Linked DNA regions of Caenorhabditis elegans. The protein of the gene in region 3 purifies or fractionates together with the protein of the main gene of each other region. This does not show direct contact. Each region holds a gene or a part of one and is shown on either strand. Other genes may lie near its edges. The genes, in order: eri-1, eri-5, gtsf-1 and rrf-3.

Evidence for each region.
Region 1: the proteins of gtsf-1 (region 3) and eri-1 purify together in Caenorhabditis elegans (affinity purification with mass spectrometry; 2 studies listed by BioGRID). This does not show direct contact.
Region 2: the proteins of gtsf-1 (region 3) and eri-5 purify together in Caenorhabditis elegans (affinity purification with mass spectrometry, with the first as the bait; one study listed by BioGRID). This does not show direct contact.
Region 4: the proteins of gtsf-1 (region 3) and rrf-3 purify together in Caenorhabditis elegans (affinity purification with western blotting; one study listed by BioGRID). This does not show direct contact.

Annotation. Positions count from the first base shown.
Region 1 is NC_003282.8:415,099-421,783, reverse strand, and holds eri-1 (3'-5' exonuclease eri-1), read left to right. Parts: upstream 1-1,825; 5' UTR 1,826-1,832; coding exon 1,833-2,167; intron 2,168-2,384; coding exon 2,385-2,505; intron 2,506-2,559; coding exon 2,560-2,661; intron 2,662-3,192; coding exon 3,193-3,265; intron 3,266-3,308; coding exon 3,309-3,432; intron 3,433-3,497; coding exon 3,498-3,633; intron 3,634-3,681; coding exon 3,682-3,879; intron 3,880-4,445; coding exon 4,446-4,613; coding exon of another isoform or gene 4,614-4,703; exon of another isoform or gene 4,704-4,916; intron 4,917-4,953; coding exon 4,954-5,063; intron 5,064-5,119; coding exon 5,120-5,228; intron 5,229-5,598; coding exon 5,599-5,689; intron 5,690-5,825; coding exon 5,826-6,007; 3' UTR 6,008-6,149; downstream 6,150-6,685. Other genes in the region: Phosphatidylinositol 3,4,5-trisphosphate 3-phosphatase and dual-specificity protein phosphatase daf-18, read left to right, coding at 1-220, 788-1,186, 1,239-1,358; T07A9.12 (uncharacterized protein), read right to left, coding at 6,280-6,466.
Region 2 is NC_003282.8:2,389,169-2,396,790, reverse strand, and holds eri-5 (Tudor domain-containing protein), read right to left. Parts: upstream 5,971-7,622; coding exon 5,542-5,970; intron 4,770-5,541; coding exon 4,532-4,769; intron 3,727-4,531; coding exon 3,433-3,726; intron 3,242-3,432; coding exon 3,130-3,241; intron 2,318-3,129; exon of another isoform or gene 2,255-2,317; intron 2,108-2,254; exon of another isoform or gene 2,045-2,107; intron 1,695-2,044; coding exon 1,357-1,694; intron 938-1,356; coding exon 753-937; 3' UTR 535-752; downstream 1-534. Other genes in the region: Y38F2AR.10 (Major sperm protein), read left to right, coding at 424-534; trap-3 (Translocon-associated protein subunit gamma), read right to left, coding at 6,667-6,958, 7,032-7,129, 7,186-7,332.
Region 3 is NC_003282.8:16,864,107-16,867,026, reverse strand, and holds gtsf-1 (CHHC U11-48K-type domain-containing protein), read right to left. Parts: upstream 1,188-2,920; coding exon 1,104-1,187; intron 1,055-1,103; coding exon 969-1,054; intron 907-968; coding exon 567-906; 3' UTR 523-566; downstream 1-522. Other genes in the region: ING family member lsy-13, read right to left, coding at 1,702-1,899, 1,958-2,284.
Region 4 is NC_003280.10:8,160,569-8,168,467, reverse strand, and holds the start of rrf-3 (RNA-directed RNA polymerase), read right to left. Parts: upstream 6,004-7,899; 5' UTR 5,911-6,003; coding exon 5,843-5,910; intron 5,788-5,842; coding exon 5,178-5,787; intron 5,132-5,177; coding exon 4,896-5,131; intron 4,849-4,895; coding exon 4,735-4,848; intron 4,685-4,734; coding exon 4,327-4,684; intron 4,282-4,326; coding exon 3,462-4,281; intron 3,415-3,461; coding exon 3,143-3,414; intron 3,098-3,142; coding exon 2,856-3,097; intron 2,814-2,855; coding exon 2,602-2,813; intron 2,556-2,601; coding exon 1,868-2,555; intron 1,820-1,867; coding exon 1,096-1,819; intron 1,052-1,095; coding exon 594-1,051; intron 549-593; coding exon 443-548; intron 392-442; coding exon 200-391; intron 154-199; coding exon 1-153. Other genes in the region: emb-27 (Cell division cycle protein 16 homolog), read left to right, coding at 6,299-6,384, 6,431-6,535, 6,580-7,084, 7,131-7,530, 7,574-7,899.

The DNA.
Region 1 (6,685 bases), about 16 Mb from region 3:
GCCGGCAACTGAAGACGAACTTCCTCCTGCGAGGCTACCGGATAATGTGCGAAGATTTCCAGTCGTCGGCGTTGATTTCGAAAATCCGGAAGAAGAATCGTGTGAACACAAAACCGTAGAGTCAATAGCTGGTTTTGAACCACTCGAACATCTATTCCATGAATCATACCATCCAAATACGGCCGGTAACATGCTGCGTCAGGATTATCACACTGATTCGGTGAATTTGGTTTGAAATTTTAAATTTTGGAATTGAAAGTGAACTTTTTATATTATATGCGGGACCCCTCAATCTACTCACCTTCCTAGGTGTAATTTTTCTAATAATTATTCCTATTGCTATAGTTTCTAATTATATTTCTATATTATCAATATTATAATGTTTCCTCGCTGAAAACCTGCGTATTCATTCGTTGCCAGTGGTAAGTTATATTAATTTTCATTCAGATTTTTAGAGAAATATTTTGAGTATTTAGCTATCGTTATTAAAATAATGATTTTCGTATTGTTCTTAACATTCTGTTAGGTGACTATTTTCTTGTATCGTTGAAGTCCATGCTTCAAAAACAACGACTTTTTTGGCTTAAATACGCTTTCAACGTCGAAAATATTGCCTTAACATCACTTTGGGCAAATTTCTTATTTTGAATTCGATATGCTCGTTTTATTAGCTTCCAGAAAATATAACATTCGACCCATAACTCTCTGATCACCAAAAATAAGAACTCCTAGTAAGATCAAAAACTATCGGGAAATGTTGAATGTATTTTCAATATTTAACTTTCAGGAAGTGAAAATAGCTGAACAAGAGGCAAAAGCCTTCGTTGACCAGTTGCTTAATGGACAAGGTGTATTACAAGAGTTTATGAAGCAATTCAAAGTACCATCGGACAATTCCTTTGCTGATTATGTAACCGGACAGGCCGAAGTTTTTAAAGCACAGATTGCGTTACTGGAGCAGTCGGAGGATTTTCAACGAGTTCAAGCGAATGCAGAGGAAGTCGATCTTGAACACACTCTTGGTGAAGCGTTTGAGCGATTCGGGCACGTTGTAGAAGAATCGAATGGTTCTTCTAAAAATCCAAAAGCCCTGAAAACTCGAGAACAAATGGTGAAAGAAACTGGCAAAGACACTCAGAAGACCCGCAATCATGTGCTTCTACATTTGGAAGCTAATCATCGTGTGGTGAGTAATCTTTTTTATTTTTTATTATGTGATTAAAATGTTAATTTTTCAGCAAATCGAGCGTCGTGAAACGTGCCCGGAGCTACATCCAGAGGATAAAATCCCAAGAATTGCTCATTTTTCCGAAAACAGCTTCTCGGATTCGAATTTTGATCAAGCTATTTATTTGTAAACCTAAAACAAAACTTTTAGAAGATTTTCTTCTTACTGACCCTCCAATTTTCAGATAATTTCAATGTTTTAAGTTTTCTCTTCAAAGTATCATTCACTTTCTGTATAGTGTTTTGTTTTTTAACAAACTATTGTTCGATTATTTTGTATATTCATATTATAGCTCTCAACTTCCCGATTTTCCACGTATATATGTATATTTTGCCGGGTGAAAAATAGCAATTCCCTATGAATGTATCCCCTTCCATCTGTTTTCTTACTCAGAAATTGTAATTCACATTGCGGGTCATCACTAATCCTATGGGCTTTAACACAATTCTCCCATAAATTAATTGTACTTACCAATTTTTTGTTTAATTATTTAGATTTGTAACATTGAAATTGGTGATAATTCCAAAGAAAAATTATATTCTCCGATACATAGAATCTAGGCGCATTCGAATTTACATTGTTTTTCTAAAATTTCAGTTAAAAAATGAGCGCAGATGAGCCGTCTCCAGAAGACGAAAAATATCTGGAAAGTCTACGAGATTTGCTGAAAATCAGCCAAGAATTCGATGCAAGTAACGCAAAACAGAATGACGAACCAGAAAAAACAGCAGTTGAAGTGGAATCGGCTGAAACCAGAACCGACGAATCTGAAAAATCAATCGATATTCCACGTGAACAGCAACTTTTACCCTCCGAACGTGTTGAGCCTTTAAAATCAATGGTGGAACCAGAATACGTGAAAAAAGTGATAAGGCAAATGGATACAATGACTGCTGAACAGCTAAAACAAGCGTTGATGAAGATTAAAGTGTCCACAGGGTAAAATTATGCTAAATTCATTCAAACTTCTTATTTTCCTAACAGAACCCAATTTCGTACATTTAAGATATAGCTTTGCTTCATTTTTGATAGTTTTGTTAAAAAGAAACAGCATTTTTTGAATCATTTTGCGTTAAATATAGTCATCCGTAAAAGAAATAATGTAATTTTCTTACTAAAATTTCGAAATTAACTTAAATTATAACTCTAATTTCAGCGGAAACAAGAAAACTCTTCGAAAACGGGTTGCACAATATTATCGAAAGGAAAATGCATTATTGAATCGAAAAATGGAGCCGAATGCCGATAAAACTGCACGCTTTTTTGACTATTTAATTGTATGATTTTCAGAATTTCTGGAAAAGAAATACTTTAGTTATTAATTATTTCAGGCAATTGATTTCGAGTGTACGTGCGTCGAGATTATATACGATTACCCACACGAAATCATCGAATTACCGGCAGTTTTGATCGACGTTCGGGAAATGAAAATTGTAGGATTTTTTCATCTTTGAAAATGGAATATGTCGAATTACGCATGTCGTGTACTCCCCGCGGACAAGGATTGAACAGTTCTCAGTTGAAATTCTTGATTTTGGATTTTTCCTCTGGGGTTTCGGCTCGAATTTTATTTTTTTTTTTCGTGTTTTCCCGCAAGAAAATCATTTTTTCCGGGAAAAGGTGACAAACGTTTCGTCATCCTATCGAAATCTGGAATATAAAAATGTATTCAACAAAAAACGTTTCAAATACAACATTTTTCGTCTTTTTTGGGTTTCTTATTTAGCTATAAAATTTGTTTCGCTTGTGAAGAAAATATTGGAAAAAAATAGAAAAATCCTTCTCCCATTTTTCAATTTAAGGCAGATGGAAGTTCTTTGGTGTATTATCAAGTTATAAAAACTGACTAAACTGAAAGCTTTTTTTGTTTTGTTTTGTTTATTTATTTTAGGAATATAAATAAAAAACGAAAAATATATAACTTTATAATATCCATCGTCAAAATAAGCATATTTAATTTCCAGATCAGCGAGTTTCGAACCTATGTCCGACCTGTCAGAAATCCGAAGCTCAGCGAATTTTGTATGCAGTTTACCAGTAAGACACTAATGTCATTTTTAAAATGTAAACCCTGTTGTAGAAATTGCCCAAGAAACAGTCGATGCTGCTCCATATTTCCGAGAGGCTCTTCAACGGCTGTACACATGGATGCGAAAATTCAATCTCGGACAGAAAAATTCCAGATTCGCATTTGTTACTGATGGGTAAGGAATCGAAGACGATTTTTTGTTCACTAAAACTTCAAAGTTGTGCATAACGAACTATTCAGACCTCACGATATGTGGAAATTCATGCAATTTCAATGCCTTTTATCGAATATTCGAATGCCCCATATGTTCCGAAGTTTTATCAACATCAAAAAGACATTCAAAGAGAAATTCAATGGACTTATCAAGGGAAATGGAGTAAGTTTTTAAGGTTCAAATTTTAATTAAAACCTCAATTCTCTTCAGAAATCCGGAATTGAAAACATGTTAGAACGTCTGGATCTGTCGTTTGTTGGAAATAAACATAGTGGATTGGATGATGCAACGAATATTGCAGCGATTGCGATTCAAATGATGAAGTTGAAAATTGAGTTGAGAATTAATCAGAAATGCTCGTATAAGGAGAATCAACGGAGTGCTGCGCGAAAGGATGAAGAGCGAGAGGTTCGAAACAGACTACGTCGTTTTCACCCGATGGGTTGACTCTCCCATTCGGTCTCGGGTGTCAACAAGTGATTCCATGTTTTGAAAAAAGCTCTTCCCTCAACCCTTAAAATTTCGATATGAAATTGTTTCAGTGCATTTTTCACTAATTTGGAGACCTGTTGAATTGCTCTAAATGTTTTTTTGCAAAGTTCAATGTTTTTCAGAACGGTTATAAGTAGGTGAACACTCTGGGAGATTTTTGGACTTTTTTTTGTTGTGAAAATCTGAACATTTTTGGATCAAGTGGAGTGAAGAAACTTTCAGATTTTTTTCAAAAAATTACAAATTTTTGAAAAATCTCCCAGAGTGTTCACCTACTTCTAAACGTTCTGAAAAAACATTAAAGTTTGAAAAAAACGCATTTGGAGCAATTCTACAGGCCTCCAAAGTAGTGAAAACAGGCACTGAAACAATTCCAGATCGAAATGAAGTCTGACGATAAAATGGAAACCTTTCCTTCTTGTTAGGAAAATTAGGAAATAGTTCATCACAAATTTCAATTAAAAAGTTATTAAATTTTTCAGTTAGAAGACGCTGCAAACGTGGATCTTACATCAGTCGATATCTCTCGTCGTGATTTTCAACTTTGGATGCGTCGTTTACCACTGAAACTGTCCTCTGTGACACGACGAGAGTTCATAAATGAAGAGTATTTGGATTGTGATTCATGTGATGATTTGACTGATGATAAGGTGAAACATCTACATTCTTGTGATATTTATGAAATTTTCGATGAAAAAACTTCAGCTAGTTTTACAGATTCAAAGTGTTTGATTTGCTAGGCGAATTTTGGCAAAAGTATACTTATTGATGTAAACATTTTCCCTATCAATTTTGTGTCTTAGCCAACGAATTTCCAAATTTTATTTCAAAAGTAAAATTCCATGTCAAATTTTACATTTTTAGTTTAAAAATTATGTTTCTTCCAAGCCCACATTTTTCATTGAAACTGGTATAGTTGTATTTGATTCGCCCCGAATAAATAATTTTCTGTTTCCATGTTTTATACACACAAAAACTCAAAATTTTCAGAACGACGAGGCGGCATTCCAGGAAAAAATGGCAATTCGAGAGTATTTGGAGAATAAACAGACGGAAGATTTCGCGAAAATTGCTGCTGAGCGGGGAATTTTTAAAATTGGGTAATGGACTTTGGATGGAATTTTGAACAAAAAAATCTAGTTTCTGGCGTTTTCAGTGAAATAAAATCATATCAAACTGCAAGACCGATAATAGAGGATGATGACGTGGATGTTGAAAGTGAAGAGGAAGATTATGGAACTGAATTTGAAATGTTGGAAGTTGTGGTGAGAATGTTGAGAAAAAACACTTCAAAAATATCAATTTTGTTTTTAAAAATCAACGCCACGATTCGATGAATCGAAATTCAAAAATTCTCCGAAAAAGCGGAAAACTCTGCTTTTGAAATCAGAAATTTGCAATGTTTTCCGGGATAATCGAAAATTTCTTTCAAAAAAAAATTAATGTAGGTATAAATTTCAGATTCATCGTGGTGTGGATTTTAAAAATCCGCGAGAGAAAAAAATTCTGAATAACTAAGCTTTTCGATTTTCGTATAATACAAAACCGAACTTTTATTTTGTTTTCAAATTTTAATAAAATTCGAGCAAAAAACCAAATCGATTTGGAGTTTTAATAATTAATTTTTTCGTTCAGGAAAGAATGCCTCCAGTTAGTTCTACGTTACACACTGAAGTCGATTTAGATGCTGTATGGGAACGAGATGGTGGAAGTGATTCTGAAAGAGGTACGTCGAGGGAATTGCAATATGGAAATTGCATTAGAAAAAGCTTGAAATTCTGTTTGATTAAAATGTCAATTCAATTGCTCCCAAAGTTTAAATTATTGAATAGCACTTAAAAAACATAATTGTGAAAATTCAGAAAACCTCTCAAATGCTCCAAGTCTCCACGAGTTTCCATCGTCATCCACATCATCACCACATGCCACGTCAGAACATGTGACGTCATCATCACCACTTCATATCGACGATGACGTGGACCGCGTGTTGAATGCGCCGCCCAAAAATTCGTTGGCATCGTCTTCAAATCGATCTAGTTTCTAGATTTTCTTGTATACGAATTTAATTATTTTTGCAGGTTTTGTAGTATTCGAGTATTTCATTTTCATTTTTGATCTCAATTTTTTTTCGCTCCAATCTTTTTTCTCCTTTAAATCGCGTTTATATGAAATTTGTCACATGTTTTATTTAGGTTATACACGGATGACGTTTCAGATGGTATTTATTTGTATTTCTTTTGGAAACCCGTTGAAAATAGGAAAAAACAACAATAATGTACAGAAAATGATAGGAAATGAGAAGAATGAGCAGTTAAACTAGTTATTTGTTGCCCGACACATTTGAAATCCCCACGAAGCCAGGAGAAGCCACATTGGCAAAAAAACCATCCCATACGTATTCCGATTTGCAACTTCTGATTTCTCCAACTCTCCACTGATTTTTTCAACGATGAAGTATATGAAGAGCGTGATGCATGTGAGACGGAATATGTTGAGAATTACTCTGAAAAAAAAATATATATTGCATGTTCAATTTTGAATTTTCTGTTTTCACAGATGATTCGCATTTGGTCTGTCGCAAGTAGGAACACGTAATTTGCGTTCAACGGGCTATAATTTCGCAGTTATGTATTCCTACGGACTGGTCTCGCCACGATCTTTCCGGCGGCCGCTTCATTTTAATAAGAGTTTCAGAGTTGTAAAACCATTTTTGGAAAGACCA
Region 2 (7,622 bases), about 14 Mb from region 3:
TAAGAAACCCTCTTAAAAAGTCTACAAGAAGGTTTTTCCTTGCGCTTGGAGCGCAAAAGAAAAGAAAAAGGGTTATTTAGACTTAGGAACAAACCCAATTTGAATAAATCATAGGAAATCCCCAATCCGACAAGCCTAAGGGCCCGAATCCTAGTATGTTTTTCGGGCCCTTAGGCTTGTCGGATTGGGGGGATTTCCTATGATTTATTCAAATTGGGTTTGTTCCTAACAAGGGAAGTATTTCAACTTAATCCCGGTTTGGTTGTCGAGTTGGTTGTCGAGAGCTCACGCTCGTCACTGACACCAAGCCTAAGCCCTAAGCCTGACTCAGCCTAAGCCCAAGCCTAAACCTACGCCTGGTCAAAATTTTCAAAATTTTCACTAAAAGTATTTATTTTCTACCAAAAAATCGATAATTTCCAGATCCCAACATTCGTAATCCAGCCACAACAATCCGATGACCCACTTTCGGAAGATATGAAAACTACGCTAATCGCTGGAAAATACACGTGTCTGCTTGTTCCATTGGAATAAATATTGATTTATTGATTTTTATCGTAAAAAATCGATAATTTAACACGTTCACGTAAAACAAACAGATCGTTAAAACGAGGAGGAGATCGATATTATAAAATACATGACAAAAAACAGGAAAAAATTATGTTATCGATTTTGTACTCCTCTCGGGCAAGTGGATTATCGATTTTTTTTTTGCAATTTTTCACGGGAGAAATGCGAAAAAATCAATAAAATCATCCGCTATCCTTATCGTCGCTAACATTTCCATCATCATCATCCTCTTTCTGGGTACGTAAATCGTCGGATCGTTCAGTGAAAAACGGCGACGGCGACGGGATTTTATCGAGCAAATTTTCGTCGTCTTCGTCGCCGGCGACCCGAATCTGCGAGAATTGCAGTTTGCCGGTTTCCAGGAATTCTGAAATGATTGGAAAATTATTGATTTTTACGATGCTCCGATATATTCCGCACATGGGAATTATCGATTTTTGACGAAAATTCGCGCGAATTAGCTATGGAGCGCATTTTCCCCTGAAAATCGATCGAATTGTTCCGCAGGAGAATTTTTGTCAATGGAGCGCATTTGGGACACGAGGCCGCCGGCGCGGGAAATTTGAAATTTTGCAAAATCGGCGAAATCCCATGAAAATTTCGAATTTTTCAGTTAAAAAACCAAAATTTCAGGTGTTCTCGGCGCGAAATTTGAATTTTTGAGTTAAATAGTGAAGTTTTGGTAAAATTCTGTGATTTCGGGTAAAATTATCAATGGAGCGCACAGGAACATGCAAAAATTGCATTTTTGTCGCTTTTCCAGAGAGAAATCCGTAAATTTCTCACCCATATCGGGTCCGACAACGATCGGCACGTCATAGGGTACAATTTCACGCCAAAAATGTGTATTCCACTCCATTTCGCTGTCGGCCATCGATAAATCGTCGTCGAGAAATCGGCCAATTTCAATGCAAGCCGGCGCGATTTTTGTGTGCTCAATGTGCATTCGGTGCAAATTTTTGAGCTTCAGGATGCCACGTGTTCCCAGATCCACGTAGCGAAGAGCCACGTTGGCGTTCGGCAAAAAATCGATAATCTCGCAACGGAGCCATTGAGCCGACGATTTTTGGCGATTTTTGATGGTTGCCATCACGTAGGTTCGGCCGGTTTGGAGGGCGAATTTTCTGGAAAAAATTTAAATAGAAAAATCGGTTTTTCGCTGGTGAAAATGCGCTCTATTGAGAAAAACTTCAAAAAATCGATTTTTGGCGGAAAATTCAATTTTTTCGCTGTTGAAAATGCGCTCTATTGAGAAAAACTTCAAAAAATCGATTTTTGGCGGAAAATTCAATTTTTTCGCTGTTGAAAATGCGCTCTATTGAGAAAAACTTCAAAAAATCGATTTTTGGCGAAAAATTCAAATTTTTCGCTGGTGAAAATGCGCTCTATTGAGAAAAACTTCAAAACATCGATTTTTTGCGGAAAATTCAAATTTTTCGCTGGTGTAATCGCGCTCTGTTGAGAAAAACTTCAAAAAATCGATTTTTGGCGAAAAATTCAATTTTTTCGCTGTTGAAAATGCGCTCTATTGAGAAAAACTTCAAAAAATCGATTTTTGGCGAAAAATTCAAATTTTTCGCTGGTGAAAATGCGCTCTATTGAGAAAAACTTCAAAACATCGATTTTTTGCGGAAAATTCAAATTTTTCGCTGGTGTAATCGCGCTCTGTTGAGAAAAACTTCAAAAAATCGATTTTTGGCGAAAAATTCAATTTTTTCGCTGTTGAAAATGCGCTCTATTGAGAAAAACTTCAAAAAATCGATTTTTGGCGAAAAATTCAAATTTTTCGCTGGTGAAAATGCGCTCTATTGAGAAAAACTTCAAAACATCGATTTTTTGCGGAAAATTCAAATTTTTCGCTGTTGAAAATGCGCTCTATTGAGAAAAAAGCAAAAACATCGATTTTTAGCGGAAAATTCAATTTTTCACTGTTGAAAGTGCGCTCTATTGAGAAAAACTTTAAAAAATCGATTTTTGGCGAAAATTCAAATTTTTCGCTGTAGAAAATGCGCTCTATTGAGAAAAACTTTAAAAAATCGATTTTTGGTAGAAAATTCAATTTTTTCGCTGTTGAAAATGCGCTCTATTGGGAAAAAAGCAAAAACATCGATTTTTGACGAAAAATCAAATTTTTCGCTGTAGAAAATGCGCTCTATTGAGAACAACTTTAAAAAATCGATTTTTGGTGGAAAATTCAATTTTTTCGCTGTTGAAAGTGCGCTCTATTGAGAAAAACTTTAAAAAATCGATTTTTGGTGGAAAATTCAATTTTTTCGCTGTTGAAAGTGCGCTCTATTGAGAAAAACTTTTAAAAATCGATTTTTGGTGGAAAATTCAAATTTCTCGCTGTTGAAAGTGCGCTCTATTGAGAAAAACTTCAAAACATCGATTTTTGGCGGAAAATTCAATCTTTCGCCGTTAAAAATGCGCTCCATCGATAAAACAGCGCCAAGTTCAAATTTTCGGCGAACTTATCGATTTTTTAGCATAATTTTTCAGGTTTTAATCGATTTCCGCATATTTTTCACATTTTTCACTGAAAATTCGAAATTTTCTAACATTTCTTCCATCTCTAGCGGCCGCTGATTCTTGAGGTTCGAGTAGAAATCGTCGATTTTTTGCTGATTTTCCGAGTTTTTTACGAGCTGCTCGAAAATCCAATGTTCATTATCTGAAAAAATTCGAATTGTGCTCAGTACGATGCTCCGCTATCCCTTTTCTCATTGGAGCGCGCTTGCACAACATGCGGTCGGCGGGAAATTTCAAATTTCTGGGTCAATTTTCGCCATTTTACTCAATTTTTCGCTTTATTTCGCGAGTTTAAGCAGAATTTCGAGCAAAATTGTTCAATTTCCACCGTACCAGACATCTTTTCCGGTGCCAAAATCGGTGTAACGTGCATTTCCCAGGGTGATACGGTGCAACTCGGCTCGAGCATCGCCCAAAAGCTTCCATCGGCTCTTCGGAATTGCTCGAGTGCCGTGTCATTCCATTCTGCCACGTGGCACTGCAGTATATCCCAGTCGGCGTCGTCTTCACGGTAATCGGCAGGCGGCTCGTGAGCCCAGTCGGCTGGGAGGTCCCGGCGGAACTCTTCGAGAAGAATCACGTCGAGGTGGTCTTGCTCTTTGTCGAGCTCCTCGAGCTTGGGATTGACTGGAAAAAAATTTTCAAAAAAAAAAAAAATGTTTTTATTTTTTTTTTTTTAACCAAAATTTTTCAAAATTAATTTTTTTCTGAAAATTCATATTTCGACTGATTGTGTCTCACTGAGAGCTTCAATTTGAATATAATCATGACCTTTTTTGCTAAATCTTTAAAAAAGTTGGGTCCCGCCACGAAAACCTCAGGGGTACTGTAGTTTTCGCGGTGGGACCCGATTTTTTGTTCAAATTCTAGCAAAATTGGTCATTATTATACTTAAATTGAAGCTAGAAATGTAGTGAATTTGATTTTTACAAAAATTTTTGAATTTTTTATTCCTTTTTTGACATTTTCTATGAAAAACTAATCCAAATTTCGATTTTTTTTTAGATAATGTTTGAGAAAAATTAGTTTTTTATGACATTTTAAACACATTCCATGTTTTAAACCAAAAAAATAGCGGAAAAACCAAAAATTTCGGGGTTTCGTGGCGAGACCCAAATTTTTCGGAAATTTTTCATTTTTTTAAAACAAAACTATGAAATTCAAATTCAGCTGTTTGAATGCTTCCATTTAAGTATAATCATGACCAGATTCCATTGATTTTGAAAATTTTCCGGGTCCCACCACGAAAAACTACAGTAACCCCGGGGATTTTCGTGGTGGGACCCAATTACTCGTAACCCATAGTCATGATTATACTTAAATCAAAGCTCTCGGCGTGCTGAATTCGAATGTTATATAAACTTTGTTCGGGTTTTTCGGGTTTTTGAAATTTTCGCGAAATTTTTTTTTTCCAAAAATTCAAAAATTATACCCATAAAATTAGTGGGAAATTGAGAGACCATAACATTTTGCATAGAAACCGCGCAAATCTCCTCGATCGCCACTTTTTTATCGATTTCTGTTCCATTTGGCAATCCGTACAGGTTCACGAGAAGAGACGGGCGGTCCGAGCGAAAATCCACGTCACACTGGTTGGCGGTAATTTGAAATTTTGCAAATTTAGAGACAATATTTCGAAATTCGGTGCACTGGGTGTCTGTCCATGAGTCCTGAAAAAATCGATAATTTTTGAAAAATCAATAATTTTCAAAAAATCGATTTTTTTTTTGTAAATTGTTTAAAAACATTTTTGGCGGGCAATTCAAATTCAGATTGCGTGTTGCAAGTGCGCTCCAATGAAAAATCTCCGTTTATTGTTGGATTTTTTCGTATTTTTCAGGTCAATTTTAGCTGAAAAATAGCATTTTTAGGTTAAAAAACCATCAAAAACCCCAATTTCCTCTCAAAAATTCAAATGTCCGGTTTTTCTCAATGGAGCGCACTTTCAATATTTCGTTTGAAAATTTGAATTTTCAGATGGAAATCTCTATTTTATAGTTTTCCAGTCAATTTTTTACGATTTTCATCAGGAAAAATGCACATTTTTGCCATGGAGCGCATTTGCAACGGCGGGAAATTTGAATTTCTCACGGGGTTCTGGTCTTCTTCCTCGAATTTTTCGCGCTCCATTGACAATCGCCTGCCGGACAACGCGTGGGAAAGCCGTGTACTCCACACGGACAAACGCATTAGTTTTATAACTAAAATCGAACCGCGACGCGACACGCAACGCGCCGTAAATCTACCCCATATATGGCCGAGCCAAAATGGCCTAGTTCGGCAATAACTCTTCCATTTCAATAATTTATGAGGTAAGCCAGCCAGAAATCCGTGGATTTTCATCAGGAAAAATGCACACATTTTTGCTCTATAGAGCGCATTTACAACATGCGATCGGCGGGAAATTTGAATTTCTGGGTTAAAAAGTGCTAAAAATCAGACCGAAAGGTGCACCAAACGTCCCAAAGTGCAATGCATCGCCTGCCATGGGTGAAATTTGAGATTTTCATCAATTTGAAACAGACATTTCCACGAAACATTAGCAGTGACCGCAGAATCGATGAAAAAAATCCGGGCGGCCTCGATAAGCTCCAAATTTTTCAAAATTAAACATCGAGCGAATACACGTGGCCGGAGCGGAGCCATCGCCATGTTTCCCGCCGAAAAATCGATAATTCGAGTTGTTAGGCGGTACGGTTCGCGAATCAATAATTGATCATCGGTGACATGATCGACGGGACGGCAGAAAAATGAAGATGGTGATTCGATTCGGAGCAGCTCGACGACTGCCGAGCTTTTTAGAGCTATTCGTCGAATCTCTGGATCTGGAAATTCCGGGTGATACGTTTCGTAGGGCTCCTCCGAGAGCATCTGAAAATCCGATTTTTTGATGGAAAATTTCTTGCATGGGAAATTTGAATTTTTCTTCTTTTTTTAAACACTTTGTTACTTAAAAATCACTAAAAATCAATTAAAATTCAAGTTTCTCGCCGACCGCATGCCTCAAACGCGCTCTAATGAGAAAAACTTTGTAAATTAATTTTTTTTTCATTTTTCACAAATTTTGTAACTAGACAATCATATATTTTAACAGAATCCCGTGTTTTTCAACTAATTATCACTAGAGCGCATTTGCAGCACCTGGTCTTGAGGTGAAAATTTAATTTTTGGTGTTTTTCGCTGGCGAAAATCGATTTTAATCGTTTAATATTAATTATAATCGCTGAAAATGGTATGAAATATGGCGTTTTATCGAAAAATGCTGTTCTTAATGTTAAAAATCAGAAAATCGCGCTAAAATAATTGTTCAGTGGAGCGCAGTTGCCCCAACAGCTGTGTAGTTCTCTTGGACGAGCAGAATCATATTAAAAAAGCAGCTTGGACTGGATTATAAACCTGAAATTCTTGGGAAAAAAGAAAAAAATAAACATTTTTAGTTTTTGGGATTTATTATACAAAAAATCTGCGGGTGGGTGGTGGGGAAAAATAAATTAAACTTTCGTTTTTTATGATAAATACATGAAACTTTTTGAGAAAAAAAAGGGGGGTCCCGTTTGTAAAGATCGCTTAGTTCTTAGCGGTGGAGAGGAAGGCGACGAGTCCGGCGGATCCGATGGTGGAGATGAGCAAGTTGAAGACTGGAGCCACGTTGGCGAGCAAGAAGAACGCCGAGACGAGCATGATGGTCAAGTAGAGCGAGTTTGTGTAGAAGACCGACAAGTAGGTGGATTCGGTGTCGGCGACCTCGTTTTTGCGGAAAAGCGCGCGCTCCTCCTTCTCCTTAACAGTCATTTTCTTGTCAGCAGCATATTGTCCGCTGATCTCGCGTTCCACAGCTGATCCGCGCTTCATCACGATTCTGAAAATTTTGGGGGTTTTTATTGGGGTGAAAAATCGATTTCCGATTTTTAAAAATTCAAAAAAACCCTCACTGATGCTTGAGAAGGCACTTCTGGTTTTTGCAGGCCAGGGACAGGAGGTAGGCAGTGCCGACGGCAGAGAGTCCCCACACGACAAGCGAGTCTTGGATCTGAAAATTTAATGCGTTTCACAAGGTTTTCCTAGCCGATAGAATTTCCGGCTAACCTCCATCTGGTGAACTCCGTAGAAGAGGTAGAGCGGGGCGATGGAGATGATCAACGCGTTGAGGTAGAAGAAGAGGTTTCCCTTGGTGGAGCTGGTCGCCGAGTAGCTCGAGAGCAGAAGTTCCTCTTCCTTGGTGAGCTTGCCCATGGTTTTTCGATTTTCTGAAAGGAAAATGCTTTAAAATGCATTTAAATGTTTAGTGGGAAGTAAAACGGTATTTTCGGGGGTATTTTTCCACTATTTTAGGAAGAAAATGCCTAATTATCAATGAAAATTCAAACAAAATTAATATTTATTAACATTTCCGCCGAAAAAATCGTCAAAAATAAATATAAATTGAGACGAAAACCCCGCCACTCTCCAAAAACTACAACGTGTCTCCGTCGAGTCTCTCTTCGTGTGCATCTGTGCGTCACGGTGTTTGCGTACCGACCTGC
Region 3 (2,920 bases):
TGAGGCGCGTTTGCTTCAAAATTATGCAAAAAGGACAGCCAGCGACCACGTGGGGATTGTTTATAATTTTCATGGGTTTCTGACTTTTTTTAAAGTTTAACTTTTCTATAGAATTTACGTTATAGAAAAGTTAAAAGTTATAGTTATAGATGATGTCCCGACGCCTCCCGGGTGCTTTTCCGATTTTCGCGCCAAAAAATTCAATTTTTATCGGCTTTTTCCAGTTTTTCACGGGGTTCTGGCCTTCCTCTCATTGAATTTTTCGCGCTCCATTGACAATCGCCTGTCGGACAACGCGTGGGAAAGTCGTGTACTCCACATGGACACTAAAACCGAGCCGCGACGCGACACGCAACGCGCCGTAAATCTACCCCAGATATTGCCGAGCCAAAATGGCCTAGTTCGGCAAACTCTTCCATTTCAATTTATGAGGGAAGCCAGAAATCCGTGGTTTTTTGGTGGCTTTTTCAAAATTCGTTTCGAGACCCGGTACCATAGTTTTAGCACAAAAATTGAAAAAAAAATGCTTCTCTCATTTTACTTGTTCCACTTTTTTAAAAATAAAATCACAAAATTAAATTATCATTCTTCATTTCCAAGTAAGCAAGCCGATTGATCGTCTCGAGCATCATCTCCACCTCTTCCACATCCGATTTCTCGATTTCCGACGTCACCGACAGATTCTTCTCCTCCTCGTCTTCATCCGAGTCATCTGATCCATCTAGCGACTCCTCGTCCTTCTCGTACTCTTTCCGAAGCTTCTGTGCCGCCAGGTGCTCCGCCACGTTCAGCTCCAGCGGCTCCAGTGACAATTGGCGTCGAAGATCGGCGGATTGACGTTTGCAGAAGATCTCGTGGAATTGGAGCTCTTCTTCGGGAAGGAAGTGACGCATGTTGTAGGAGCATCTAAAAAAAATAATGATAATTATTATAGAAAAATTGGAAAATTAATTGAGCAAAAAAAAAACCTCTTCAATTTCAACGAATGCGGGTAAAAATGCAATTTTTCCGTGCGACACTTCCACAAGTGCGTGTTGAACTCCTCCATTGACACCTGAAATATAAAATTTTTAATTTTAAATTAAAAATATATCAATTCCAACCTTGTGATCCGAATTGTAAGGGCATGTTATCGAAAATCGATCATTTTTTGAAGTCCCAGGGGCCTCCGATTCTCCCGACGCCATCTAAAATTTCGAAAAATCAATAAATTCGATGAAAAATTGGATAAAATCGCCAAAAAAATTGGATGAAATCGAGGAAAAATTCTTGGGCGGGGCTTCGTAAATCTACACGCAATTGTGCCGCACGGGGTTTTGCAAGGAGTGGGCATGGAAAAAAGCCTTGACCGCGACGCATCGGCGTGCGGAGCGGCTCGAAAAAATGTATTTATTTCAGCGATTTCACCGAAAAAATTGAAAATCCAGCAATTTTAAAGGAAAAACCCAACAAAAATCCAAGTTTAATCAATAAATCGTTAATTTTCAGTTCAAAATCTGAATAAAATTCATCAGAACCGTTGTGAGAGTCAGAAAAAATAATTTTTTAAACAGAAATTTATATGCAAACAAGTTTCAGTTTATCATAGAATAATAAAGCAAAATGGGAGATCAAACCAATACAATTTTGTGATCATCGGATGATTTTTTTTCAAATAAAATAGGTACACAAGCGGCAAATCAAAGAAAAAAAACCAATTATTCACTTCTTCTTCTTCAATCCCTTTCGTTGTGGAGCCTTCTGCGGAGCCTCTGCAACCGCCGCGAGACCCTGTGCACGGCACTCATTGGTGCAATACCAGTCGCCGGCTGGAGCAGTGATCATTCCGATGCATGTGAAGTGGAACCATCCGTACTTGCAGCCCGGATTCTCGCATTCGATCATTGTGTCGTTTTTATCCTGAAATTATCCCAATTTGGCGATATTAAGCGGCGGCGGAAGCTCACGGAGCCCTTACCAGTTGACACCAGCAGTACATTTTCGGTGGCTCGGCGGCGGCCACTGCTTTCTCGGATTCTGGCTTTTTCTTCCGACCGCGCTTCTTCTCATCCACCGACGACGGAGCATCATCATCTCCCTCGGAAAGCTTCTTCTTACGATGACTTCGCACTGACGGAGAACTGCTTGGCGGAGTTTCCGGTGCTTTTGGAATCTTATTCAGGTTTTCAATGAACTTTTGCTCTTCTTCCATGAATTTCCCGTAGACATCCTTCAGAAGAACCTTCAAACCGCTCGCAATCTCTATTTTTTGGTCGGAATATTCGGAAACTTTCGCCATTTTCTTCTGAAAATTGATAAATTCGCATTTTTTAGGTGAAAAAATCATAAAAATTTGGATTTATAGGTGAAAAATCACAAAAATTGCGATTTTTAGGTGAAAAAATCATGAAAATTGTGATTTCTAGCTGAAAAATTATAAAAACTGGAATTTTTAGGGGAAAAAGCATAAAAATTGGGTTTTTTAGGTGAGAAAATCATAAAAATTTGGATTTTTAGATAAAAAAATCACAAAAATTGCGATTTTTAAGTGAAAAAATCATAAAAATTTGTATTTTTAGGTGAAAAAATCACAAAAATTGTGATTTCTAGCTGAAAAATTATAAAAATTGGAATTTTTAGATGAAAAAATAATAAAAATTGCGATTTTTAGGTGAAAAAATCACAAACATTGCGATTTTTAGGTGAAAAATCATAAAAATTTGGATTTTTAGGTGAAAAAAATTATAAAAATTGGGTTTTTTAGGTGAAAAAATCAAAAAAATTTCGATTTTTCGCCTAAAAATCGCGATTTTTATGATATTTTCACCTAAAAATCCAAATTTTTATAATTTTTTCATCTAAAAACCGCGATTTTCATGATTTTTTCACCTATAAACCGCAATTTTCAAACTTTCGCCATTTTCTTCTGAAAATTGTTAAA
Region 4 (7,899 bases), on a different chromosome or scaffold from region 3:
AATCGCGTCCCTAATTGTCTCTCCACTGAGAAGTAAAAGTCGAGCGAGGCGTTGTCGTGCAAGAACCGTTCCAACTGATGTAACATAGATCATATCAGACTTCCGAGTTCCAGTGATTTCGCGAGGAATTATTTCTTTGACACCAGACCAATCCTGAAAGTTTTTCACTAGAAACGAAAAGTATTTTCGAACCACTTACCTTCAAAGATTGCAATATTCTACTCCTACTGATCGGATAATCATCGTTGTAGTTTCTCGAAGAGAACAATGACTCGTTAACTAGTATTGGATCCTTGCTTTCTGTAATCTGATCCACCGCATCCTCATCGTCCAAATGAAGCGCATCAAACCGTCCAGACACAGCGATGGAATGAAATGTACGATATGCAATCTGGAATATGTTTTTTGTTGATAGATCTGGAATATTAAAGATCGAGCTTACAAGATGTAAAGGCATCCATTGTGCACTTTTAGTAAGTATTGGCTCAACAATATCTTTTTCGTAGAAAACTCGAAGACTTATGCTTTCAGCTGATGCGAAAGATTGACTGAAATATTGAAAAATTTTTCCAACACTAGATTTTTAAATTTACCTTGCCAAATATCTGAGAAATTCGAGCATCATTGTTCCCATATCGAAATTTCTCAATATCGGAGCTTCATCTGCATCTTCTTTCTTCGAAATCCATTGCTGAAACATTGTTGTTGGCATCAGAAGACTTTTTTCATAATCAATAGTGGGATTTCCCAGGAGATCTCCGAGCCCTAGACGAATCAAAAGTCTTCCCAGCTGCCAAATCGACAAAACACTTGATGGGAGCACATTTTCTCGTTCAAGCCAAACTTTCAGGATGAACAACATTTTTATAATCTGATCTCCATAAAAATATACGTATCGTCTCAGGAAAAGCGCATCTTTGTGAGATTCAATCAAATCTTTCAATTTGAGAAACTTGTCAAACTGCCTTTCAATGGAGTTTTCGATCTCCTCTTCTAAACGAGCAGCAATTGGATATTTGCCTCGTAAAACTGCGTCATTTTTATCGAGCATCTGCAACAAAAAATTAATATATTTATTTCATAATTTTAACTTACTAATTGTCGCCTCAAATCACACAATGCATCCCAAGCAACCCAGGGAAGACTCTGTCCAATGCATCTTCCAGCCTTATTTATCTTTGGCTGCACATATGCCACGAAATACCATTGCCGAATCTTTTCATGCATTGCCTTCGTACATTTCAACCGAGTGTTCTTTCCATCATTCTCAATGTTGATTTCTTCTCCACCAAACTCTTCAAAGAATTTTGCACGAAATACAGCATACAATTTTTCATAACGAAGCTCAACGACCTTATCAGTGTGATAAAATGAATAGTCGTCTCTCTCCATTCCAGCTAATCTCTTGATACTTGCAGCATGTCCAGACACAACTGAAGCTTCGTCTTCAATTCCATATTCATCCAAAAGTTGTTGCATTCGATCAACGTATTCATCGCGAAGAGTCAATGTTTGTACAAGTTTTATTTCATTTCCGAAGAAAACATCAACGTCTTCTGGACAAATCAGTTTATCATATTCTCTTTCGAATACACTCCCGCGTGTTTCAAATTCTTCCAAAACTTCTTCAACTTTTCGAGCTTTTCGGTGCAATTGTCCATTTAATCGGGTACTGTAGTACATCGGTTTTCCACCTGACATCATATAATCAGGTGTCATTTCGCATTGCTCGAAACTTGACAATGGTTCCGCGGGAACTCCACTTTTCGGAAAATCTACAGCTACTGCACATTTGAGCGCGATGGCGTGACAATTTTCGCTGAAAAATAAGATATTGGCTTAACATGGATAATTTCAAGGAACATACTGGAAAAGTCCGTGAAGATCAGCATAAGCCAAATGAGCGTGACTCATTCTTCCAATTGAATCCTGTTGAAGGTATCGAAGGAAGAATTCAACCATATCATCTGTAGTAGGTTCTTTGTCTTCTTCTGCAGCTGAACTACTCGGAAAAACCATTGCTTCTTCATTATAATCGAGTAGCATTTCTTGATCCCATATTATAGAATACTCATCTCCATCCAAATCTGAACCTGCCATTTCATCGGGATGTGGTCGTGGGCCATGTTGTGGAAATACTACAACATCGACTAAATGAGCTAATGCTGGTTGCCAAACTGCGTCGAAAACTCGAACATCTCCAGGAACGTGACACGGATTTTTGGTAATCAAAACTTTGCCTGTTTTCAATATTGGACGGTTACTGGTTTGTCGGATACTTGGTGAATACTGGATGAAAACCTGTCCGTACTGTAAAAGTCCAGTCTCATCGACAACACCGTACATTGATCTTCCCAAACTTGGAGGCAAGAAAATTTTAGCTTTAGAAATGTGATGGATGATGTTGTAGCGATAAATAGAGAATAGCATATCTCGTATCAATGGATCTACACTCAATTCGAACCCGGCTCGTTTGCTTGCTGCGTTCCAGTCGATTGCCAAGTTTGTGCGATTGACTAGCTCTTCTGCTGCTTGATTTTCATTTATGAGCATATCTAAAATTAGGAGATTATGATTTGTAACCATACAGTAACTACATACTACTCAGAGAACATAGTTCTCTTTCCAAGTAATAATGAACACGATTTGTGATCCTTCTGTGAGAGCTTGCAGATTGTTTTTCCGACACTTGATCCAGGATTGTAATGAATGGACGGTTGAGACAAACTGGAGATGGCATAGCGTATTTTACTACTTCGAGGTATTCATCTTGCAGCTCTCCACCACCTTCACCAAACTTTTGCTGACTTTTTCTGAAAATTGATCATATAATTTGTTTGATAGATCATCACTACCTGAAGATAACTTTAGGCATATTTATAATATCATCGATTGTTGGATCAATAACTAGAATTCCTTTGAAACCTTTAAATCGCACTTGGAAACAAGCTGGTACTTCCTTCAATTGGAGAATCTTAGATATATGTGTTGCCAGTTTGATAGAAATTCGACCACAACCATCAGAAAAACAATATTTGTTCTCTACACCACCTTCAATGTCAGGTTCAACGATCCAGTGATGTCGTTCAAGACGTACCTGAATATTTTCGACTATATGAATATTTTTAACACTAGAATATACCGTTGGTTGTGCTTGTGTAAAGCATTGTCCCATTCGACTCATCATCTTTGGAACACTAATCGCATCTCGGAAATCTCCCATCCATACTCTAATATCTTCTACAGTTCCTGTGACTTCACCAGTTAATGCATTGACTCGAGGAGCGTATAAATAACATCCTTGATCACGCATTTGAGAATTACTCCATCCTAGAAAACTGTAGACACGATCAGCAACTTGAATTCCATTTTTGAGAGTCAAATAAATTCCTTCGGTGACAATATTCGACATGTCTGGAAACTTAGATAATATATTTAAAAATATTTAAAGAATTTCTTACGATCTATATTATTGATGGAAAAGTCGCGAATAGCGAGCCGGCCCAGATTGTCATCTCGGAACACACAACGAAGAGCATAATCAGGTCCAAATCTTCTAACAACTCGATTTACCATCATTACTTCTGGAGCCATTAGCAGTATTCGAGATGGTGTTACAATAACTTTAGCCACTGAAACACAATTCTTCGGCAATGGCTTTGCAAGGCCTACATCTTGAAGGCTTTCTCCTTTCAGAAGTCTTTCGTATTGAATCTTTCTTGATTGATACATTGTTGTGAACGCGGTAACTACATCGATTTGACGACGTTCATCAAATGCATTCAAAAGTTGTTCGAGAGTCTCTTCTGTGGCTTGAGAGCATTCTTTCATTCCCCTACGAACTAATTTCAGAAAGAGCGGCTCGTGTACTAATTCCATTGGCTTTTTCGTGTCATCAACATCATCGTCATCATCTTCATCATTGTCATTGTCTGAACTTGGAATATTTTCATCAGTTGCGTCGAAAAGTTGGTCCGTAAATACACTTCCGCGTGTGATTAGAGCCTGGAGAGCATAATTCGCTCGGAAAGATCCCAGAGAATGGAAAGCCGGGGATGGTGCAAGTTTTCGGCGAATTGAAAAAATGGAGCCGAACATCACTTTTGCTTTGCTTCGAGCAGAAAGTCTAGTAACAATATCCATCAATTGTGTAGACGATACCGAATCGTTATCATCATCTTTTCTCATTGTCAACCGGATCCAGGAGCTTTGCGAGAAAGCTTCAGAAGTACAACCGACACCTCGGCCCTCAGCATCGCCAGGCCAACTCAATACTCTTGTCTGAAAATTTACAAGTTTTTAAAAGTTATTTGCATACCATATCACCCATTCTGTGCACGTTTCCATATTGAGAACCTTCGACTTTGATGGGTGAAAAATCGTATTTTTCGGAATTCCTTCCCAGAGATGCGGTGGATTTTTCATTTGTATATAAATACTGTTCGTAGTTTCATGAGACATGTCGACAACAATTCGAACAAACAAATTATAATATAGATTAAGACGAAATCCGGCATGATCCAAACCATCATCAGCGAATTCGGCTAATCGAACTCCGAAATATACCACTGCCAGTCTTTTGTCATGCTCAAATCTCGCATACGAGAGGTATTTATTGCTTCCTGCCACTTTGAATGAACTGTTTTCACGGGATGCATCTGCATTATGGTGTGACTGAAGCTTTCTTAAAAACAAAAATCTGATTAGAAATTCTGTAGAATATGTGCAACTTACACACTACAAACTGTGTTTTCTTGACTGATGAAATCTCCTCTAACAAGGAAAAGTCCTGAATTAGGGCAGTTTCCAATCGCAATCGCAGAAATATTTATATCCATGTGTTGGGGTCTAAATTATAACTTGAGTATATAAAAAGCGGATGAGTATTCTATTACGTTATTTTTGTGAAAAGCGTATGCATTTTCGGGACTTCCAAAAATACTTGATCATGGAGCATTCCAGTTATTCTAGATGTGAAACTTGATGCGAACTCGGAGAACAATTCATTTTCATCTTCTACTTCACCGTTTGGCGTCAAAACTAAATGAGCATCGATGACGTATGATTTATCTTCGTACGCAGCTCGTGGCACCATCCCCACCTTGATCCAGTTTACCTCGTCAACTTTAGACTGAAATTAAATTGTTTCAAATACGGCCAATTAAAAAATCGCTTACCAATTTCAAGTGTGTTTTCAAAACATCTTTTATATTTTCCATGTGTGCTCGGCAATATCCAAAGCAATCATTATTCATGCTGCCAATGAGCTTAGCATCGAAATTCAGCTCAATCGCCTGTTTTTTACTAAACTGTCTCGTCTTCGCAACTGTTTCCGATTCTTCTGCAGCGGCCCATAACATCCGCACGAGTTTTTCTTGTTCTTCGATATTTACACCACCTCTGTGCTTCGTTTTCTCATAAAGAATGTGAGTTGATGGGAGAGAGTGCCGTTTTAGAACAGAACAGTCGACTGGTTTTGAAGTAGAAGGCCTTTGTGACTGTAGCAGGTAATCACGAAGATATCCACGATTCACTGGATACGAAAAATTGTTTAAATGATTTCCTGGAAAAGCCGACGATGAAGAGTGAACAGGCTGTTCTTGTACGTCAACTTCCGATTTAGATTTTGAATTTCGATCCATCCGAAACGTTGTCAATAGCATCTTGTTTGAATGCCCAATTGTTAAGGTGTTCACTGGAGTGCATTCTGTTTTTCGATTTGGTAAAGTTCCAGACGAAAAATTCGATCTACCACGTGGAAATGTTGATTGACTCTGAGGAACTCCTCTGGAAAAAAACATTGTTTCATTTGACTACCGTTTGCTCACCGAATTTCAATTACCTTGGATGCTTCGGCCTAACAGAAGTTGTAGCATCATCGCTAGAGTCATCATTATCAAACGGGAGCATTTTGTGAAAGACTTTTTGAAAATGGCATTTATTTTACGAAAAAAATGAGAAACAATTTTATTCAAAAATTTGATGATGTATGTTCGCTCCATTGACAATTAGCAACGAGACTCCGCAGTTACGGCTAAAATTTAAATTTGATCAAGCATTAAATCCTTTTTATTTTGTTTTTAAGCGCCTAGGCGCGCCTTTATGTTATTTAGTTAAAGTAGCTGTAACTACTCCGTGTAAGCTGTAAAATTATAATCTAAAAATAAGACTATAATCTCAACACTTTTTCACAACAGTTCCATTGCAATTAACGTCATTATTGAATTTCTATTTTACAATTCTTGTTGCTTAACTTAAGTTCTCTACTTACTAAACAAATATACGAAGCCTTTACAGCATGAGCGCGATCTCGCCTGATACAAAAAGTTTTGCGATTCCGACATTGGCTGATGAAGGTTCCTCAAGCAAGCCAGCATCATCTTTGTGAGTTTAATAAATAACATTTCTTTTTCAAACTACAATTTTTCAGAGATTTGCCGAAACACGAGTCTATTCGTTTCAAGCCGATTAAAACACTTGCAAGTAGAATTGATGGATCGGAGTATTATGACGAGGCGAGCATGGAGAAAGTGATGTCAGTTTGAGACCAGCATATATATTAATATGTTATATTTTTAGGGAAATGCTTGAAATCGGCAGAACCGATGAAGCTGTAGCTTACGCGGATACATTATACTCTAATATAATTGATGATGAACAGCAAGATATTGTCACCATCGCTGAATACGTAAAAATTCTCGTCGTTCTCCGTCAATGGCGGCGTATTAGCCATATTATTGCTCGTGGGAACTATCATCAGATTCACATTGTTTTTGCTTATTATGCCGCTACCGCACTTTTCCAACGGAAATTATACGAAGATGTAGCTGAATTATCGGTCGGTCATCTTCTTCCAAGTAATGGCCAAATTGGACCTCTTCCTGTTCGAACACTTTCACAAGTGACGGGGAGATATGTCGAGGAAGAAAGAATGAAGTACTCATTTGCAAATATGGCCGAATTGGATAATAGCTCTAAAAAGCTCAGAATGGTTCCAGCTCTTATGATAACCATAGCAGAAAGTTTTTTGAAATTGATGAATCGTGATGCTGCAATGATTTGTATTAATTACGCGCTGAGTCTTGTAAGTCATCTTTTATACATGATTTGACCGTGTTTTATTATTTCAGGATAATACAACTCTCCATGTCGAACGATTAATGGCAAAATACAATCTGGTTGAGCCTGCGATGTGGGAGAAGTACAGAAAAGTCAGAAATGAACAGCTGAAGTTACACGAAGGAAATCATGATCCACGAATTCTTATGGAACGTGCTCAACGTGCCTACGAGATGGGTCGATTTCGAGAAACAAAAAAAATCACTGACGAGCTATTTGATCTATTTGGACCACATCCTGAGTGCATTATTCTTCGTATTCACTGCCTAACAATGTTAAAGGATTCTCGATCTCTGCTTGAATTAGGTCATCAACTAGTTAGTGATGATCCTCATATTCCACTTCCATGGTATTGTGTTGCTATGTATTATTATAGTATTGGAGCAAACTCAAGAGCTCGAAATTTCATCAGTATGTTTCCCATTTCATTGAGGTTTAAATAGAGCTTCTTTAGGTAAATGCACGATGATGGATTCGACGTTTGCTGAAGGATGGGTGGCTTTTGGTCATATTCTTCACTATGAAGTTGAACACGAACAGTCCATGAGTTGCTATTACAGAGCGTCGAAACTTGTGGATAAAAGTTCTGAACCGTTCTTGTACACTTCTCTTCAGTACAGTACGCATAGTCAGAAGCTGAGCAAGAAGTTCATGGGAGAAGCAGTTGCTCGGGCACCGAATGACCCTCTGATTCGTCACGAAGAAGCTTGTGTAGCCTATACTGCAAAAAGTTACGCGGAAGCCGATATTTTATTCAGAACTGTTTTGTATATGGTTACA